Drosophila melanogaster: one gene and its partners. The protein of the gene in region 1 purifies or fractionates together with the protein of each later gene. This does not show direct contact. Each region holds a gene or a part of one and is shown in the gene's direction. Other genes may lie near its edges.

Evidence for each region.
Region 2: the proteins of Taf6 (region 1) and Tbp purify together in Drosophila melanogaster (affinity purification with western blotting; 5 studies listed by BioGRID, with this or other methods). This does not show direct contact.
Region 3: the proteins of Taf6 (region 1) and Taf1 purify together in Drosophila melanogaster (affinity purification with western blotting; 3 studies listed by BioGRID, with this or other methods). This does not show direct contact.
Region 4: the proteins of Taf6 (region 1) and Taf4 purify together in Drosophila melanogaster (affinity purification with western blotting; 2 studies listed by BioGRID, with this or other methods). This does not show direct contact.

Annotation. Positions count from the first base shown.
Region 1 is NT_037436.4:19,597,433-19,602,636, forward strand, and holds Taf6 (TBP-associated factor 6), read left to right. Parts: upstream 1-1,655; 5' UTR 1,656-1,727; coding exon 1,728-2,612; intron 2,613-2,674; coding exon 2,675-2,844; intron 2,845-2,901; coding exon 2,902-3,357; intron 3,358-3,477; coding exon 3,478-3,787; 3' UTR 3,788-3,950; downstream 3,951-5,204. Other genes in the region: ash1 (absent, small, or homeotic discs 1), read right to left, coding at 1-661, 724-804; CG9368 (uncharacterized protein), read left to right, coding at 4,341-4,544, 4,610-4,628. UniProt on the Drosophila melanogaster protein: TFIID is a multimeric protein complex that plays a central role in mediating promoter responses to various activators and repressors.
Region 2 is NT_033778.4:21,685,381-21,689,632, reverse strand, and holds Tbp (TATA binding protein), read left to right. Parts: upstream 1-1,990; 5' UTR 1,991-2,180; coding exon 2,181-2,963; intron 2,964-3,027; coding exon 3,028-3,306; 3' UTR 3,307-3,441; downstream 3,442-4,252. Other genes in the region: CG10307 (uncharacterized protein), read right to left, coding at 1-349, 411-590; BaraC (baramicin C), read left to right, coding at 1,123-1,174, 1,243-1,529; eIF3k (eukaryotic translation initiation factor 3 subunit k), read right to left, coding at 3,523-4,120, 4,187-4,252. UniProt on the Drosophila melanogaster protein: General transcription factor that functions at the core of the DNA-binding multiprotein factor TFIID.
Region 3 is NT_033777.3:6,645,048-6,650,642, forward strand, and holds the start of Taf1 (TBP-associated factor 1), read left to right. Parts: upstream 1-1,841; 5' UTR 1,842-1,942; coding exon 1,943-2,124; intron 2,125-2,246; coding exon 2,247-2,554; intron 2,555-2,617; coding exon 2,618-2,881; intron 2,882-2,935; coding exon 2,936-3,147; intron 3,148-3,212; coding exon 3,213-3,838; intron 3,839-3,897; coding exon 3,898-4,278; intron 4,279-4,333; coding exon 4,334-5,048; intron 5,049-5,105; coding exon 5,106-5,378; intron 5,379-5,451; coding exon 5,452-5,595. UniProt on the Drosophila melanogaster protein: TFIID is a multimeric protein complex that plays a central role in mediating promoter responses to various activators and repressors. Largest component and core scaffold of the complex.
Region 4 is NT_037436.4:16,111,238-16,116,965, forward strand, and holds the start of Taf4 (TBP-associated factor 4), read left to right. Parts: upstream 1-1,974; 5' UTR 1,975-2,128; intron 2,129-2,552; exon of another isoform or gene 2,553-2,647; 5' UTR 2,648-2,904; intron 2,905-3,070; exon of another isoform or gene 3,071-3,074; 5' UTR 3,075-3,234; coding exon 3,235-3,606; intron 3,607-4,431; coding exon 4,432-4,593; intron 4,594-4,794; coding exon 4,795-5,382; intron 5,383-5,728. Other genes in the region: Zn72D (Zinc-finger protein at 72D), read right to left, coding at 1-632. UniProt on the Drosophila melanogaster protein: TFIID is a multimeric protein complex that plays a central role in mediating promoter responses to various activators and repressors.

The DNA of each region.
Region 1 (5,204 bases):
TAGCCACTTTCTCCTCCGCAAGCTTCGCATTGACGGTCTGCCCCAGCATCTGAGTCTTCTCCATGAAGTCTTGCAGCAAAGTTGACTGGTACTGGGGTAGGTTCTTGTCCTTGGCCGCTTTGCGGAAACTTCCTTCCACAGTTGTGTCCTCCGTATCGCTCTCCACTCGCTTGATAGCCGCCTGCACCAGGTTAGGTAACTCGTTGTCGCTGGACGAGATTCCGATATCGAGGGTGGGTTTGCTGGCCGACTGTGCCGCCTGGATGATAGCACTTAGCAGCACTCGCGGAGCTCTCTGCTGATGCACCTTCAAGGGCAGATCGTCCTCTGAGTCCGAGGAAAATGCCGAGATCTGTGACTTCTTAGACTTAGACACTTTGTCCGATTTACTAATCCCACTGGAACTTGCCAGCTTCTTGCGCTTGACCTTCACTTTCTTGCTGACCGCTCTATTTTTGGCCTCCGAGCAGCCGGACTCGGTGTCCTGGGTAGACATTTTTCTGGACTTTGGGGGTTTCTTGGTTGCTACGACTCCTAACGTGGGGCGGATGGCCGAGATTCTCATTCGCAGTCCATCGGTGTCCGAACGCTGCACGCTAAACTGGGTGGCTGACTTGATCGACTTCGACTGGCTCGATTGATCCGTAATGGAATCGGTTTCCTGAGGAGAACAACACACTTTACATATAGCATTGCATAAAGGGTGCCATTTTAAAGACTTGCCTCATTTTCACTGCCGGATTCTTGTGCGCGTTGCGTTTCCAGAACCTTTGCTGCTGCCGTCTCATTTTGGCTACAGCTCATATTTTGGAGTCGCTGGGGAGCTGCAAAGGTTCGCTTTTGTTAGCCAAGTGTTTTTAATTCGATTTGGTGGCACTCTTAATCGCCTTTAAAGTAGGTCAAACCGCGGTGACATCGTCCAAAAAAAAAACCATTACCTACAGCACACTTACGCTTGATTGTTTTCTGGGCTAGTAGTAGACCTCAGTAGTCGGTTTCGTTTGTGCCGAAATGACAATCTATTGCTGCACACATTGCATTTGCACTTTTCTTGAGCCTTAGGCCGTGGCTTGCCTGCTTCTAAAATGGCGCCGTTTTCACTTTCCCAAAAACTGCTTTGTTCGACGCCCGACGACGGCGCAACGTTGCAACGCTTCTCGCATGTGGCACATTAATCCGCGGTACCGATAATTCACTTTTTTCGCGACTAGTGGGCGGTGGCGGGGCGCATCAATTGTTATTGTTAATGTGGCGCAACAACAAAAAGCCAGGCAACCAAAAATTTACGAACATAAATAAAGAAAAAGACTGCGTTTCAGTGTGCCCAGCTGGGGTGTACGTGATGTCTACGCGACAGTGTGACCTTGCGGCGGAATTTAGCAGGCAACTATCGCGAACAATAGTGGATTCTATTCAAAAATAGCTGGAAAAAAACAAGCCGATTATTGTATAACAATGTGAAACCAGTAATATTAATATGACATTTTTTATGAATTAAAAATGAATTCTTATATTTTTTTTACTATTGTAACTAAATATTTGTTATGGGAATATATTCCTTACATGAACTCGCAAATAGCAAAATTTTAGGTGACCATAAAACTAATTATAGCAGACGATATGAAACAACAAAAAAGCCAGAATAGCTAGATTTTCTCTTTTGGGTGTGTGCACACTGGCCGAGCAGCTCGGCGATTATTATTTGTTTATTTGTAAAAACCTGGGAAATGAGTGGAAAACCGTCGAAACCGAGCAGCCCCTCCAGCAGCATGCTGTACGGCTCCAGCATCTCGGCGGAGTCCATGAAGGTGATCGCGGAGAGCATCGGAGTGGGCTCCCTGTCGGATGACGCCGCCAAGGAACTAGCGGAGGATGTGTCCATCAAGCTGAAGAGGATTGTACAGGATGCGGCCAAGTTCATGAACCACGCCAAGCGGCAGAAGCTCTCAGTGCGGGACATCGACATGTCCCTTAAGGTGCGAAATGTGGAGCCGCAGTACGGTTTCGTAGCCAAGGACTTCATTCCATTCCGCTTCGCATCTGGCGGAGGACGGGAGCTGCACTTCACCGAGGACAAGGAAATCGACCTAGGAGAAATCACATCCACCAACTCTGTAAAAATTCCCCTGGATCTCACCCTGCGCTCCCATTGGTTTGTTGTGGAGGGAGTGCAACCCACTGTGCCCGAAAACCCCCCTCCGCTCTCGAAGGATTCCCAGTTACTGGACTCGGTCAATCCAGTTATTAAGATGGATCAAGGCCTAAACAAAGATGCGGCAGGCAAACCCACCACCGGCAAGATACACAAGCTGAAAAACGTGGAGACCATTCATGTCAAGCAACTGGCCACGCACGAGTTGTCCGTGGAGCAGCAGTTGTACTACAAGGAGATCACCGAGGCGTGCGTGGGATCTGATGAGCCGCGGCGCGGGGAAGCGCTGCAGTCGCTGGGATCCGATCCTGGCCTGCACGAAATGCTTCCCCGCATGTGCACCTTCATTGCCGAGGGAGTTAAGGTCAATGTGGTTCAGAACAACTTGGCGTTGCTTATTTACCTCATGCGCATGGTTCGTGCGCTTCTGGATAATCCTTCGCTGTTTCTGGAGAAATACGTAAGAAATTTCTTATTGTATTGTTCTTTGTTTCTCATAAAAACGATGTTGTCTCCGCATAGCTCCACGAACTGATACCCTCGGTGATGACGTGCATTGTGTCCAAACAGCTGTGTATGCGCCCCGAGCTGGACAATCACTGGGCCCTGCGAGACTTTGCCTCCCGACTGATGGCTCAAATCTGCAAGAACTTCAATACCCTAACCAACAATCTGCAAACCCGTGTCACCCGGTAAATCACATCCACTTAAATTAAATAACCTTTTAACATCCATTTCCCAACCTTCAGCATCTTCAGCAAGGCCCTGCAGAACGACAAGACCCACCTGTCCTCGCTTTACGGCTCTATTGCGGGTCTCTCGGAGCTGGGGGGCGAAGTCATAAAGGTTTTCATCATACCCCGCCTTAAGTTCATATCGGAGCGCATTGAACCTCACCTGCTCGGCACCTCCATCAGCAACACTGACAAGACAGCAGCAGGTCACATCCGCGCCATGCTTCAGAAGTGCTGTCCCCCGATTCTCAGGCAAATGCGCTCAGCGCCAGATACAGCGGAGGACTACAAGAACGACTTTGGCTTCCTGGGGCCGTCGCTGTGCCAGGCAGTAGTCAAAGTTCGAAATGCGCCCGCCTCAAGCATTGTAACCCTGTCATCCAACACTATCAACACGGCACCCATCACGAGTGCAGCACAAACAGCAACAACCATCGGACGAGTGTCCATGCCCACCACACAGAGACAGGGGTAAATAACACTTTTAAGCATAAAATAAAATTCCAGCCAAGCATTTGATTCCTAATGGAAACCATGTTGACATGTCTTTTTATGCCCATTACTAAGCGGTTAAATATTCTTTTGTTTTAGAAGTCCCGGAGTCTCGTCCCTGCCGCAAATAAGAGCCATTCAGGCCAACCAGCCGGCGCAAAAGTTTGTGATAGTCACCCAGAACTCGCCGCAGCAGGGCCAGGCGAAGGTGGTGCGGCGTGGCAGCTCTCCGCACAGCGTGGTCCTCTCCGCGGCCTCCAACGCTGCCAGTGCCTCCAATTCGAACTCAAGCTCGAGCGGCAGTCTACTAGCGGCTGCACAGCGGAGCAGCGATAATGTGTGTGTTATTGCCGGTAGCGAAGCGCCAGCAGTTGATGGTATAACAGTTCAATCTTTCAGAGCATCCTAGACGCCAACTCGCTGATCATTGAGACGGAGATTGTGCGCGCACCGCCCGAGCTGGACGATCTCTCGCACCTGGAGTAGCCAGCTTAGTTCGTAGTCCACATTTTGTCATATTGTATGCAATAAAATAAAAAATGCGGGTTCCTACCCCAAAAAAATGTAACCACACAAATAGGAAGAATATTAAATCATTATTTTCACACGTTTTGTGTAAAATGGATTTAGTTCTTCTTAGCAAGCAAAAAAAAAAACATTATTTAAGGATTTCCCATAGAAATATTAAGCTACAGTTCTGTAAATAACGAACTGTTGAAATCAACTGACTGCTCTCCCACCCCACAAATCGAAAGCTTGCCCACGCAGTCAGCACGCATGTGCGGGTATGGGCCCCCAAGTGGCTTGCTATTGATTTCTCCAGCGCATTGCTGGGTGAACGCACAAAGAGCTCTGCTCAGCACTCCTTGTAGATACCCATCGCAGGACAAAGGCAAAGCTCGAAACGCTTCTGGCAGCATTTTCAAAGGATAAAAAGGAATTCTCACAAAAACCCAGGAAAGATGCATGCCAGATTTGCGGATCCCGAGCCAGCGTCTCCGGACAGCGTTGATGGAATCGAAACGGAGTCACTGGAGGCGCGGATTGAGGCCTTCAAGCAAAATCCCCAGAACATGGCCGCGTTGCGGGAGGCGCTCGACGATGTGCTCCTGCGGGCTGAGACGGAGGCGAACAGGCGGGCAGTTGAGAGCCAGAAATCGCAACAGGTTGACCACACATATCTAATATTCGTTTTCGAGCTAACTGAACTAACTTGTAACTTCCCTTGCAGGGCAAGGAAAAACGACCGAGTAAGTATACGCAGTGTGGTTCAGTACATTTCACTTCTTAGCTATTTGGATAGTGTATTGCTTTTCCCTTTCGAGCACTTCAGCGCAAACCCTTGCCAAGTGCTGGCCGCTGAATAGACACTTGTGCACAAATCCTTTTCTTAGTCTTGCTTAAGTATTTTTGTATCGATGACTTTCGTGGCAATGAACTCGCTTGACACCTAAGAGTGCCTAGGCTAAAAGTTGGTGGATGAGGTCTAAATCTCAAATATTGCAAATATTTAGGAAAGTATAATCTTCGTGCTGAAATTAAGAGAACTGTCGCGTAATGTTGTAACTTGTTTGATAAAAGTGGGCTGACCTAACTAACTGATGACAGGGCGACCGTTGTGGGCCTCCTCCACGGTTGTTAACAGATGGCAATTAAAACTGAGGAAAGCATATAATTTAGAATATATAAACGCATTCGCACGCCATTTTCACCCATTTTCCAAAAAACCCAGCCAGCTCGATTGCATGACCATATTTTGTTGCACTTAACTTGTATTTTGCGTATCACTGATCTTTATTTCCGTATTTTTGTACTCTCTGCGCCTC
Region 2 (4,252 bases), on another chromosome or scaffold:
GCACTTCGCTGAGTTCGCAGCCCTCGGCTGTTAGCCAACGCAGGGAGGACAGAGCGCCTATGGCATCGGGCAACTTCTTCAAGGGATTTCCCCGTACGCCCAGCGTCTCGAGGTGTTCACAGTTACGAATTTCGTTGGGCAGCTCCAGGAGCCCAGTATTATTGCACCAGAACGTCTCCAGCTGAGTGAGGTATCCCAGTTCGGGTGGCAAACTACTAATGTTATTGCAGCTGATGTTGAGAAACTTCAGCCGGACCAAACGACAGATGCAGAGCGGGAATTCGTCCAGTTTATTGTAGTCCAACGTGAGGACCTGAAGTCGCATCAAACTACCAATGGAGGATGGAATCTGTGAGTCAAGGGATTGTGAGTCTATTATTTCATTGGCTATCTTGTGCACCAGGTGCCACCTTTGTTAGCTTGTTTTGGTTGAGGAACAGCTTCATCAGCGTCTCGCACTTCTCTATGATGCCCGGAACGTCGGAGATTTGGTAGTGGGACAGATTCAGGGAGAATGCCTTTTTGTATATGGCATCCTCGCAATTGGCCAGCACGTAGTTGTTGCGGAAAAACTGACAAACCTTCTCCATGTCGCCCTTATTAAGTGTTTACTTCTGCAGCACTTGAATTTGGTTGTCTTGGGTTCCAAACTATTTCACACTCTTTGGAAAACCTACTCTGTTTTTGGCGCTAGTAGCTTAGTTTTCAGGCCTTGTCTTTTGTAGTTTCGAACTGTCGCCCGATTTGCGCGTTTTTTCGTTTGTTTTGAGTGCATGTTATATAACGATTCTCGGAGTCTATATATGCACAAAAATCTCTATTTGCTGCACTCTCTTTTGCCTGCCTTCTCTTCCCAAGCTGATGAACTAAAATTAAAAATTTCATTTCCTGGGTAAAGGCATGCGCAAAATGCTAGATATTGGCAATAGGGTAGTTCTATTTTAAAATTGGTACATTGTCGCTTGTAATGTTTGTCGCACAAGGAAAGCTCAACATTTGACATTACCCATTCTCAGCTGCTAATTGGCAAAAAGCTCGTCTTTCTATCGGTTTATATAAATAGATTGTAAATTACCGAGCCGCTCTCAGTTGAAATTGAGCTCAGTGACTGGAAACTGCATCATGAGATCGTGTACTTTACTTGTTTTCATAGTGAGCACGCTGTTGTTTGCCGGTAAGTCAAGTGTGGGAACCACTAGAACCGCCACATCCATTCAACACTCTCTCTCTATTTTTCTCCAGTGACAAATGCGCAGCAGAATTATGATGGAAGAAATGGTCCCCATGAGTTCGGCACACCTGGAAACGGCATTTACATACGGGGTCAGAACGAAGGACCCTACACAGTGCCCGAAATGGGAGGAACGTTCCAAAACTCACCCTCAAGTGGGCAGCATTCCTACACCGATGAGCACGGAAATACTTACACCCATTCCTCAACGGCAACTGTCACAAGTTTGGCCTATTCAACCTTCGGTTTCAGCATGGGCGGCGTTCTCATTTTTCTAATTAGTTTAATAACCATTTAATTGCACTTTCCAAGTGCAAAAGTTCCAATTAATTAATTTTTAACACATCGTTTTTCAGTTCACGCCCACGAAAATCTATTGCTGAAACTGCATAGATGAGAATAACCATTTTCCTTCTAAGTATTATGCACTATTATTTATTCGCTATTTCTTTTGTTCACCTTATACACAAATTATTTAGCTATTAAACAGAAGTACAACAAAGTATACTTGATTCTTTTGAAAAGTGCGCCATTTTAGTTATCGATTGGCAACAACGTAAGGGAGAGATTTAACGTATAAGAAATATTTGAAACGTTGAAGTGTGATTTTTAACTAAACATTAAAATACAATCAAAGATAATTATTGTTATAATTATTTTCATACATATTTTCAATGAAATACTTAAATGCTAAGAACGTAACGATAAACGTAAGACCCAGCCAGCTATCGATAGTTGCGGCAAAATGCAGCGCTGACTTTGCCATTCTCACAAAACGAGCCACAGGTACAACGACGAACGCGGTTGCATTACATTATTATTATTATTACTATTAAATTAATTTCCCGCTCTGTGGGTATGCAATTAAAACCCAAAGTTGAGCCCGTTCAGCAATCTTGAATTGAGTCACTGAAAAATTCACCGGAGTCCACAATAAACCATCTGTAAGATGGACCAAATGCTAAGCCCCAACTTCTCGATTCCGAGCATCGGAACGCCGCTCCACCAGATGGAAGCGGACCAGCAGATAGTGGCCAATCCTGTGTACCATCCTCCGGCTGTATCGCAGCCGGATTCGTTGATGCCGGCACCCGGTTCCAGTTCCGTGCAGCACCAGCAGCAGCAACAGCAGTCGGACGCCAGTGGGGGATCAGGTCTCTTTGGCCACGAACCATCGCTCCCGCTGGCGCACAAACAAATGCAGAGTTACCAGCCATCGGCCTCCTATCAGCAGCAGCAGCAGCAACAGCAGCTCCAGAGTCAGGCGCCCGGCGGCGGTGGGAGCACTCCGCAGTCCATGATGCAGCCGCAGACGCCGCAGAGCATGATGGCCCACATGATGCCCATGAGTGAGCGGAGTGTGGGCGGTTCGGGGGCCGGAGGTGGCGGAGATGCCCTGAGCAACATCCACCAGACGATGGGCCCCTCCACGCCGATGACACCAGCCACACCAGGTTCCGCTGATCCCGGTATTGTGCCACAACTTCAGAACATCGTGTCCACGGTTAATCTGTGCTGCAAACTGGACCTCAAGAAAATAGCATTGCATGCGAGAAACGCCGAGTACAATCCTAAGCGATTTGCGGCTGTGATTATGCGAATCCGAGAGCCCCGGACCACCGCCCTTATTTTCAGCTCCGGCAAGATGGTGTGCACAGGGGCAAAGAGTGAGGACGACTCCAGACTGGCAGCGAGAAAGTATGCGCGCATCATCCAAAAGCTCGGTTTCCCTGTAAGACAAGACTTTACATTTCCTTTCTCTTCCCGGCGAATCTCTAACGCTTTCTCTCCCGCAGGCAAAGTTCCTCGACTTTAAGATTCAAAACATGGTCGGCTCCTGCGATGTCAAGTTCCCCATACGCTTGGAAGGCCTGGTGCTGACCCATTGCAACTTCAGCAGCTACGAGCCTGAGCTATTTCCCGGCTTAATCTATCGTATGGTGCGACCTCGAATCGTGCTCCTCATCTTCGTGTCCGGAAAGGTGGTGCTCACTGGAGCAAAGGTGCGGCAGGAGATCTACGATGCCTTCGACAAGATATTCCCCATTTTAAAGAAGTTCAAGAAGCAGTCATAAATAGGATAGCGCTTTATTAGTTCTGTACGTGTACGTTTTAAGGTCGGTAGTTCTGGAAGTCTGATCATATGAGTGGGAGCAGCCTGGCGAGCAGCTCCGATCGAGAATAAACCACAAAGTAATTTAGCTGTACGGACAGGCTTTTATTATTATTTTTTTTCCGTTAATTACTATTCGTAAAAATTTAGACAAGGACTATGAACGCGAATGAGGTTCCTACAGGCACTGGGCCATCAGGGCGCCCACGTTGTCGAACTCGATCTTCTCCGTAATGTTCTTCGTCTTGATTTTGTCGTCCTGCATGGCCACGATGACGAGTCCCTGGCCCTGGTTCTTCCAGCCATTGCGCTTGATCCAGCTCTCCAGCGTCGAGTCCTCGATGCCGCCGAGCAGCTCCTTAAGCAGGTCCTTGCGAATTGTCTGGAATGTGGTGCCCACCACATGCGAGACGAACTTGCGAATTGAATCGTGGAAGCCGGTGATGTGGCGGAACATGTTGCGGTTCACCTCGGCCCGCTGCCAGAAGAGGGTGAAGTCCGCCCGCTCCAGTATGTCGGCGAGGTCGATGATTGTCTGCACATTCTCGTCCTTCATCTGCTGGGGCAGCAGCAGGCACTTGGCCATCACGAAATCCGTGTGCGGCAGGCTGGTCAGTGACTTCAGCAGAATGGTGTACGTGATGTCGAAGTTCAGCATGTGCGGGTTGAACTGGTACAGTTTCAGCACGGCCAGGTTGGCCTCCAGGTCGTAGGTGTTGTTCTTAGCCTGATCCTGCACATAGGACTCCAGTGTTTTCAGATGATCTGGGTTGTAGCTGCGGCAAAAGCGAGGTTATGTTTTTACTAAGCATCATAACTGAGTGAATTTGTGCAGTTCTTACCGCTCGATGCAGCCCAGCATCTCCTGGATGGTCTGGCTCTGGCCGTTTTCCATTTTCACGAGGTGC
Region 3 (5,595 bases), on another chromosome or scaffold:
GGCAAGCTAAGTTTACATACCCTCTCAAGTAAAAACATCTCATGTAATTTTACAATATTGTCCGTATGAACGTGTGACCCTCCATGTCCCCCCATGCCCCGCCATGTCCGACCGTGTCCCAATGACGGGACTTGGCTTGGTGCGGGCTGACACGAATCTCGATCTATATGTGGATATTAGTAAACACATGTATGGAATGTCATGGAGTTCTCCTGATAATCGTGTTGGTGACAGGTAACAGCAGTGCGTTATACAGCGAAACAAGAACTATAGATTTCTTTAAGCATGGAGATGGCATATCCAGAGCCATTCCATTAAATATTCCCCCTCTAGGTAGACCTTTCTAAAAGCTATCGCAGGCAGTAACCCTCTAGTCCTCGTCCTACACAAAAACTCGAATATCAAGTGCGACATTCTGAGGGATTGTACTGAAAAACACAAGATTCACTTTGCTTTTCGCAGCCACTTTCTCATCTTAATGATCATATTCTTTCTGCAACAGCGTAAATACTTGCCACCCATCTCCAAGCTTCAAAGTGGCTTAAGTCCTGATCACGGTCGGTATACGTAAATATACGTATATTTATTTTTATTATATCATTCATTCAGCGTGGATAATTAAGTTTCGAAAATTTAATTTGAGGCATTTTATAATGAAGGGAAATTCCAAAAAGACGAAACACAAAAAAATATTCGATTTTTACTAGTCTACCTTTAAATTTTCCCACTTTGTGGTTTTCCATATCTGGGAACAGAAGCCTTGGTAAAGGTAAGTTATAAAACATATAATTAATTTGAGGTACAATGAAGTCGGTCACGGAAAGAGATTAGCAAAAAAATGTACACAATGGCATTGGTTTGTGTCCTAGAGAAATGCTGCCTTGAATTAAAATGATTCTTTAGAGTTTAAGCCATGAAAACGAATTTTCAGCCGGTTTAATCATCAGAAATACATTTTATAACGAAAATCTATTGAAAAACCATAGATTCATTTGATGTAAAAGTTTCAGGATCGGATTCTTGAAGGTGACTAAATTTGTGAGCTCAGCGTACTCTTCCTTTAATCCGTTCAAATAGTTCAAAGCCTGCATATAAAAATCCTACATTCCCATGCAGTTCTTTGGTACAAATATGACAATTTGTGACAGTACAAATCCCAAAGTTGTGGATAGTCTCTTCGAGATTATCATTAAAACGATTCTCAGCTAGAGAAAGCGCAGTTGGTAAAATCGTTTGAGTAAAACCAAGTTAAGAAGAGACTTCTGAAAATAAACATATATATATTTATAATAAAAAATGAATAATAAGAAATATATAAAAATTGATGGTTTAAGTTTTTGCTATCTGAAGTAGTTATGATTGTTTGCTACAGATTTCTGTAAAATCTGAACAACAATAGAGAAATATAGCTCCTTCAACGTTACAAAACCGTAACACAAATGTAGGTCTGAGAACTGTAATTCTAAATTGGCATTGTAGTGCTTATGTATGCCCATTTTTTCTCCAATGAGCGTTGAATAAACTATTTTTGGCTGAATAAAGTTATATTTTGATAGAAGCTGAACAAAAGTGATCGTGTTAATGGTGTTTACAGAAGTTCTATTCAGAAATATATAATTATACAAATGAAATGTACGAATATCAAAGGAATATATATTTTTTAATAAAAATCCACGTATGCCATACATGGTACAAAATTGCCAATTAAAAATATTACAGAGCCCTTTTTGTTGGACACTAACCTTCGGTACAAAACGCAATTGACCTTCCCAAGCTCCCAACCCTTGTCCAAATCTAATCGCGGATTTTCTGGTGCCAGTGGGGAGCCATGAGGCATCTTTGCTTTGTCCATCGACGGTCACACTTACGCGTGTGAAAAATGCAATTACACTCCGTCGAAGAAAATATACTTTAGCCGCGTAAACATTGCAAGCCCATAGAAATGGAGATGGAATCTGACAACAGCGACGATGAGGGATCGATCGGCAATGGATTGGACTTGACCGGCATTCTTTTCGGCAACATCGACTCCGAGGGCAGACTGCTGCAAGATGACGACGGAGAGGGGCGCGGGGGCACCGGTTTCGATGCGGAGCTCCGGGAAAACATTGGTTCCCTTTCCAAGTGAGTACACATGCTTGTACATACATATGTAAACCCGGTATCATTCAAATATATCTTAATTCACAAGATATAAGACACTTTTAATTACATTTCCATTCATATTGCGTATGGATTACTTTCAGATTGGGTCTGGATTCTATGCTGCTCGAGGTTATCGATCTCAAGGAAGCCGAGCCTCCGTCGGATGACGAGGAAGAGGAGGACGCCAGACCGTCAGCCGTCAGTGCCAGCGAAGGAATGAGTGCCTTTGATGCGCTCAAAGCGGGCGTTAAAAGGGAGGATGGCGCCGTAAAGGCTCAGGACGATGCCATTGACTACTCTGACATCACCGAGTTATCCGAGGACTGCCCACGCACTCCGCCCGAAGAAACAAGCACTTATGATGACTTAGAAGACGCCATTCCCGCCTCCAAGGTAGAGGCCAAGTTGAGTAAGTAAGACCGTAATCTACAACGGTTTGATGACATTTAATTTAACCAGTTAACACTGGTAGGAGAGGATATTGCTCAAATTTTTAAAGGTCTATGCAATTCCTGTCAAAGTGACACGATTACTTTTGCACCGCTCAGGTTGGGTTCAGACCTATTGCTATACAGAGAGAATAACTCACATTTTGTTGCAGCTAAGGACGACAAGGAACTAATGCCTCCACCAAGTGCACCAATGCGCTCCGGCTCTGGCGGCGGCATCGAGGAACCGGCCAAGTCAAATGATGCATCTAGTCCCAGTGACGATTCCAAATCTACCGATTCAAAGGGTAAAAATTATTTGAAAACAATAGAATTTTTTTGTCAATGGTCATTCCTTTAAGATGCGGATCGGAAGCTGGACACACCACTGGCAGACATACTGCCGTCCAAGTACCAGAATGTGGATGTGCGTGAGCTCTTTCCGGACTTTCGTCCCCAAAAGGTGCTACGCTTCTCCCGTCTCTTCGGACCCGGTAAACCCACGAGTTTGCCCCAGATCTGGCGACACGTGCGCAAACGCCGCCGCAAGCGAAATCAATCCAGGGATCAGAAGGTAGAAGATCAGAGTACTTTTAAACGGGACGGGATCACCAGGAAACTTTTCGTAAACCATTTCAGACGACAAACACTGGTGGTTCGGACTCTCCAAGCGATACTGAGGAGCCACGAAAGCGGGGCTTCAGTCTGCACTATGCTGCAGAGCCAACGCCAGCGGAGTGCATGTCCGACGACGAGGACAAATTGCTGGGCGACTTCAACAGCGAGGATGTGCGTCCAGAAGGACCGGACAACGGCGAGAACAGCGATCAGAAGCCAAAGGTGGCTGACTGGCGGTTCGGGCCTGCACAGATTTGGTATGATATGCTAGAGGTGCCCGACTCTGGAGAGGGGTTCAACTATGGCTTCAAGACAAAGGCAGCAAGCACCTCGTCTCAGCCGCAACTCAAAGATGAACGCCGTGTAAAGAGTCCAGAAGATGATGTCGAAGATCCAAGCATTGCGGATGATGCCTTTCTCATGGTCTCCCAGCTGCATTGGGAAGACGACGTGGTCTGGGACGGTAACGACATCAAGGCAAAGGTGCTCCAAAAGCTTAACTCAAAGACAAATGCAGCCGGATGGTTGCCCTCGAGCGGGTCGAGAACGGCTGGCGCCTTTAGCCAGCCGGGCAAACCGTCTATGCCCGTGGGAAGTGGAAGCTCCAAGCAGGGTTCGGGAGCATCAAGCAAAAAGGCCCAGCAAAAGTAATTAATTGAAAGTTGAATTCATACGTATTTTACACTAATATTTCAATCGATTTTAGTGCTCAAGCAAAGCCAGCGGAGGCACCTGATGACACCTGGTATAGCCTTTTTCCAGTTGAAAATGAGGAGCTAATATACTACAAGTGGGAGGACGAGGTAATCTGGGATGCCCAGCAAGTGAGCAAGGTGCCCAAGCCGAAGGTACTCACTTTGGATCCCAACGACGAAAACATCATTTTGGGTATTCCTGATGACATAGATCCCTCTAAAATCAATAAGAGCACGGGTCCTCCACCTAAGATCAAGATACCGCATCCTCACGTAAAAAAGTCTAAGATCCTACTTGGCAAGGCGGGTGTGATCAACGTGCTTGCGGAGGACACACCTCCGCCGCCACCCAAAAGTCCTGACCGTGACCCCTTTAACATATCCAATGACACGTAAGTCTCTTAATATAATAATGGATGCAGAATGCAGATTTTAATTCCCTTTCAGTTACTACACACCGAAGACAGAACCCACCCTACGACTTAAGGTGGGCGGTAATCTTATTCAACACTCGACTCCGGTGGTAGAGCTGCGAGCTCCGTTTGTGCCTACGCACATGGGCCCGATGAAGCTCCGCGCCTTCCATCGCCCCCCCCTAAAGAAGTACTCCCACGGGCCAATGGCCCAGTCTATCCCTCATCCTGTCTTCCCACTGCTGAAGACCATCGCAAAGAAGGCGAAGCAGCGCGAAGTGGAGCGCATTGCCTCCGGTGGCGGAGACGTCTTCTTTATGCGCAACCCAGAGGATTTAAGCGGAAGGGACGGAGACATCGTACTAGCCGAGTTCTGCGAAGAGCATCCGCCTCTGATAAACCAGGTGGGCATGTGCTCCAAGATAAAGAACTACTACAAGCGTAAGGCTGAGAAGGACAGTGGGCCGCAGGATTTTGTTTATGGAGAAGTGGCCTTTGCGCACACAAGTCCCTTCCTGGGCATCCTGCATCCTGGCCAGTGCATACAGGCGATTGAGAACAACATGTACCGAGCGCCTATTTATCCACATAAGATGGCTCACAACGATTTCCTCGTCATTCGCACGCGGAACAACTACTGGATACGGTCGGTGAATTCAATATACACCGTGGGTCAGGAGTGTCCGCTGTACGAGGTACCCGGTCCGAATTCCAAAAGGGCCAACAACTTCACCCGTGACTTTCTGCAGGCAAGTCCAAAGATCTAATCTGTCTTTCAATTGCTAACAATTTGTTTGTTTGGTCAGGTGTTTATTTACCGCCTGTTCTGGAAAAGTCGCGACAACCCGCGCCGCATTCGAATGGACGATATAAAACAGGCTTTTCCCGCTCATTCCGAGAGCAGCATCCGCAAGCGTTTAAAGCAGTGCGCTGACTTCAAGCGAACAGGCATGGACTCCAATTGGTGGGTTATAAAGCCAGAGTTTCGCCTTCCATCCGAGGAGGAGATCCGAGCCATGGTGTCACCTGAGCAGTGTTGCGCGTACTTCAGCATGATAGCGGCGGAACAACGCTTAAAGGTATGTGTTTGCGAAGTCTTGTTTAATCTTACTTGTTCTGCTGAGCTCTATATTTTATTTTTTCTGGTTTCAGGATGCTGGGTATGGAGAAAAGTTTTTGTTCGCACCTCAGGAAGATGACGACGAGGAGGCGCAGCTGAAGCTTGACGACGAAGTAAAGGTGGCTCCTTGGAACACGACTCGCGCATATATCCAAGCCATGCGGGGAAAGTGTTTA
Region 4 (5,728 bases), 3.5 Mb from region 1:
TTGCACACTTCGCAGTAGTGCAGCTGCTGGGGACGTGGAGGTGCCTTCGGACGCATACCCCTTATGGCCGTTGCTCCTGGTATGGTGGCTCCCATCTTACGCTGATACCAGTTATTGGCGCCGCCATTTGGTTTTTGGTTTGGATTGCCCTGATGCTGTTGGGCCACATACATGCTTGCCGCATTGTAGAGTGCTGTATCATAGCCACTGTAATTGTTGCCCGCCGGAGGAGCCGAACTAGGGGGCTTGGGACCACCGTTCGACTTGTCCATCTTGCCCTTGACCTGATTCTTGACTGGCGGAGCCGAGTAGTGCGTCTTGCTGACCGAGGCTGTCGAACCGGAGGCGTTGTAGCTGGCCGGCGACTGCTGATAGAATGTCTTGGTGGCGTCGTATTGCATGGCACTTCGATAGTCGCCGTAGCCACCATAACCCCCCGCCCCAGGGCCAGAGGTGGCGCCAGCGCCCGCTCCTGCTGCTCCGCCATAACCACCCTGTCCGGCGGCCACAGCGGCATTCTGATAGGCGGCCGCATTCGCGTAGGTGGCATTGGTTACCGCCGGGTACGAGACTTGGCCCGTATTGTACTGGGTGCCGCCGTAGTTAAACCCGGCGTAGTTGTTGTTGGCCATTGTCGCGGTGCGCTGCAATTACGAAAATCGAATTTGTTTGACAATCTGTCTGCGGTTTACTAGTTTACCATTGGCATTTGCATTTGCATTTTGGACCTGCCCCCATCCCCACCAAGTGCTCTACTTACATTAGCTGTCCTATCCGACTGACTGTCAATATTTATGGGACTTCGAATGCGGATTTATTCGGGAATTTATATGTGCTTTCCGAGTAATAGCCTGTTTATAGCTGTAAAAGCAAAGTGGTCTTAGTCACGTCATGTTGAGAAAGGAGCTCCCCCCACCACTTTCCCATCCGTTTTTCATCTGCTTTTCTCTATCGATTTTTACCCCGCAGCTTTGGACGCACTTTTCGCGTGTCTGGCCCACATGCGAGTGAGCACACGTGGCGATCTCTTTTCCAACGGCATTTTAGCCCTAGTTGTGCATGGTTAAAAAACAGTTAATGCAAATGGCAATTACCTGAAATCGGTTAAATAAAATTTTTCTTCCGTCTCTATGGGCCGGTACTAGTGTGACCGCAGCGTAATCGGATAATCATACTATGTTGAGCCCGACTTGAAACAAATACCACTTTTTATTTTTGGAAGTTTTTGGAAAATATACCATTACACTATATATGTTGCTTATTTAACGGAATTTGTTTAATATTAAAATTGGTATGGTCTATTTTATTAAGACCGCTATTTGTACGATATGTATTTAACTCGCTCTACAGAATTATTTTGCCCGTTGTGCTGAAGTTTAGCATTTCAAAGATACCGAAAACTAACAAAAATACCATCACGTTGGTGGTGGGGCATGTAGTTCGGTATCAAAGTGGAACTATCGATTGTTTGACCGTTACAAAGTACTACTCCTTCGTTTGAATATATATATGATTTAAGTATATGAGCAAATAGCGTTTAAATATAAAAAAATAATAACATTTTTGAGCATTTTCTTCAATTCTGTAATTACCTAACATTCAGCTTTAAACAGTACTCTAATAATAGTTTTAGTAGTTTCTAATTTTTGAGCGTATTCTTCATTTATTCAATTACCTAACATTCAGCTTTAAACAGTACTCTAATAATAGTTCAAAGGATTTAAAATGTATCGTATTCGAATGTATTAAAATAAATTATTTTGATCCTTAAAAATTGTGGCTTATTACCCATATAAAAACTAATGAGCATATAATTAATTTGGTATGCGGCTAAAATCCGATGGCATCAAAATGCCAGCAAACGTTTTTGGTTTTGAAAATGTACGCAACAAGGCTATAAAAAATCGACATGATATCCAAGTCACTACTTCTTTTCTAGTATTTTAATTCGGTATCGCGTTTAACACGACGATATTGTCGCCAACGGTCACACTGCACAACTCGTCCGTACCTCGGCGGTCCGTAAACAATATTTACTCGGTTTTCGGCTAAATCGCCAGAGAAACGCAACGGGAAATCGTTTAAAATGCGCCCCAGTGCACCGAGTTTGAACGCAAAATGAATTGAAGTGAGTGCATCTGCCACAGGGCCCAGAAAATTTCCCCCGACATTGCAGGCTGTACAAAACCTATACTGAAACACACGCACACAGTCGCACAGACACGGACGTGGGTTTATGCCACCACCCGCTGGCCACTAAAGTAGAAATTACTAATACTACGGCTGGCACGATGCTCCATATTGCCACTGGAGACATGTACAAGATGCATTTGTTTTCTTTTTGTTTTAAATATTTTTATGCGGATTTTCGAAAAATATGAATTTTTCCTAATAGAAATCATCAATTATTAAGTGCTCCACTTTCGAGTTGAACTTTTTTTTAAATTTAGTGCATTCACGAATATTGCGCACTCGCCACCCGCATAAACGAGCGGCATTGCCAGATCGTTGGTTACGTGTTTTTCGCACGCTATCTGGCAACGTCCACCAGCCTCGATTTTCGCTTTGCACGCGCATTCGTGAAAATGGCGGCGTTCTGGCACCGTCGCTGCCAAATTTTTTGTACATCAAAATAATCAAAATAAAGCATTCTTCCAGTGCTCAACAATCAGTCCGTGCGAGCACGCGCGAGTGTGTGTGTGCGCAGGAAAACCCGCCGATCGGGAAAAGTGTAGAAAGGCTTAGCGGCGCAAACAAAAGGCAGCGAATTAGCGAGATAACACACACGCGACAACGACTGCAACGGATGCGCCAGGAGAAAGGCCGACGACAGTGACGGCAAAGGCGAGTGCGAGTGAGCCAGCGCAGCACCAATTCAGCGGAGCACCCGCTTTTTTGGCCAAGGTGAATGCGATTACCTGTGCGCGGCATCCAGGTGTACGCAGCATCTGGTTTATGGCGCACGGCCGCCAGGTAGCCGGCGGTCAGGTAGCACCTCCACCGCCTACCTGTTTCTCCACCGCCTCGAGCCGAATCTTGTATAAATACTAAAAGCGCCTCCCCTTGCATTGCAGTTCGCTTCTGGAGCGCACAGCATGCAACAACTCCGCCAACACCAACACAGGATGTGCGCAACTAGTTGATCGGAACAGGATCGCTCGCCCACACCAACACACAGAAGTCAGTGGAATAGGAGAAACACACTCGCCAATAACATAAACACCACACAGCACGATGAACACCAGCCAGACAGCTGCCGGCAATCGCATCACCTTCACCAGCCAGCCGCTGCCCAATGGCACCATCAGCATAGCCGGCAATCCCGGCGCGGTCATCTCCACGGCCCAGCTACCGAATACCACCACCATCAAGACGATCCAGGCGGGGATCGGTGGTCAGCATCAGGGACTTCAGCAGGTGCATCATGTCCAACAGCAGCAGCAGTCGCAACAGCAACAACAGCAGCAACAGCAGACGCAATCCGTAGGTGCCACCCAAACACAAACCCTAGTTATTAAATCCAACCACCATGCTGTCACCCTGCCGGCGGGTCTAGTCTCAAGTGCACCAGCAGGAATCGTAACCATGACCAAGACCATCAATCAGGTATCCATATTAAAGCTAAACCCACTCTTCGGGCGCTAGGCGATCGCAACTCGGGCGTATCACTTCGTCCAAATCTGATCCCCAATCAAAACCCCCTCAATTCCTCGCTCGAATCGGATAGTAGTGGCCGCACACACTTTGGTTGTATACTTTTATTATGCTTTCATCTGTCTACCTCGCTGCCCGAAATTCCCATATCCTTATCCAAATGGGGTTAGTCCCAGGCTTGATAACGTATTTTACGCTTAAAAAATATCCTTAATTCATTAATGTGAAATCTGAAACTTATATCTGAGTTGAAATCTGAAACTTATATCTGAGTTTGTTGCACTCATTTTTGTACTTTTATTTAAAATTAATTTCTTTTTTTACGAATGTCATATCAATTCACTTCATTAGAACTTAAAGCAGTTTAATCACCATAAAAGACATATCTTTAATTTGAAATACTTTATCCCAATGCCGAAAAGTTTCCCAAAGATCAAATCCCTAACAACTGTTCAAAAACACGCACTTGTTCAACAGAAACCTTATTCTACACCAATATCCAAACCATTACATTTGTAGAACTATTGCTTTCAATGCTCGCTTTAAATAGAACAAGATATAGTAGATTATACGCCTTCAAATTTGGTTAGCACAGAGAGAATCAGTTAAACAACTTATTTCCGCACTAATTGGGGTCCTTTGCCGAGCCAACTGCTGCATGATGTAGGCTAATTTAGAATCCCGCAAAACCTCTTAATGCATCCTTTGGTCCAAATAGACTTTGAAAATGTGATGAGATGAATTGATAGACTAATGATAATGTTGCGTATTTGCCAGGCCGGTCAACCGCTGCTCAATTCAATGCTGCCGGCTGGCGTGGTGGTGGGCATGCGCCAACAGGCGCCGTCACAGCAGCAGCAGAAGAATGTGCCCACCAACCCGCTCAGTCGCGTGGTGATCAACTCCCACATGGCGGGCGTGAGACCGCAGAGTCCATCGGTGAGTATGAAGGATAATATTGCTATTACTATGGTTGTTGTGGTGGGTTCTTCCCTACTAACTCACAGAGCTCCCTAACCCAGCCACGCTCCTCACAAACACGCATGTGCACAGCCCACCATTCACTCACACCATACACCATACACACCATGCTCCAGCAGATGAAAACCGAGTCTCTCTGTCTTCTCTCTCTACTTTTAGATAACTTTAAGCACACTTAATACGGGTCAGACCCCGGCATTGCTGGTCAAGACGGATAACGGATTCCAGCTGTTGCGCGTGGGCACGACGACGGGTCCGCCGACGGTGACACAGACTATAACCAACACCAGCAATAACAGCAACACGACAAGCACCACAAACCATCCCACAACCACACAGATCCGTCTGCAAACTGTGCCGGCTGCAGCTGTAAGTAGATACCAACAACAACAACAACATCAGCAGCAATCGCAACAGCAGCAACAATCGCAACAGCAGCAACATGCAACCAGCACAACCGCCAGCACTAGTATTGCACTGCGCAAAACGATTGTCCGTACATCATCCACAGTCCCATCCAGCAATAATAACAATAATAGTATCAATGCCACCACCAACACCACCACCACCACCACTACCAACAACAACAACAAACCCGCTACTAACCAGCAACAGCAGCAGCAGAAGCTCCAACAGCAGCAACATCTGAAGGCCCAGCAGCAACAGAAACAGCAACAGGCATCCGCTGCCGCTGCTGCTGCAGCAGCTGCCGCCAATGTGGCAGCCACCATAAAGATCAAGCAAAACGTAAAGAGAAGCCAGCAGGATATACTCCTATTCGAACATATTTTTTGCTCTTCTCTCCTCTGTTCTCCTTTGTCTGTTATGCACTTGGATTTGATCTTCTTATTTATATAACTTATATATAACTATGCCTACGCTTCAGTTCCGTTTTGGTTCGTCACAATCGAACACTTCATTTTGATTTATCAAGAATATGATGGCATATATAATATACTGTAAATGTACTGCATGCTGCGTTGTGTAACTGTCTGTATTTTCGATACTCCTTATTTCGATTTGATTTAGTTAAATGCGCTGTACACGAGTTGCTGTTCCAGACCAAACATCATGCTAGAGGCCTGGCTATCGG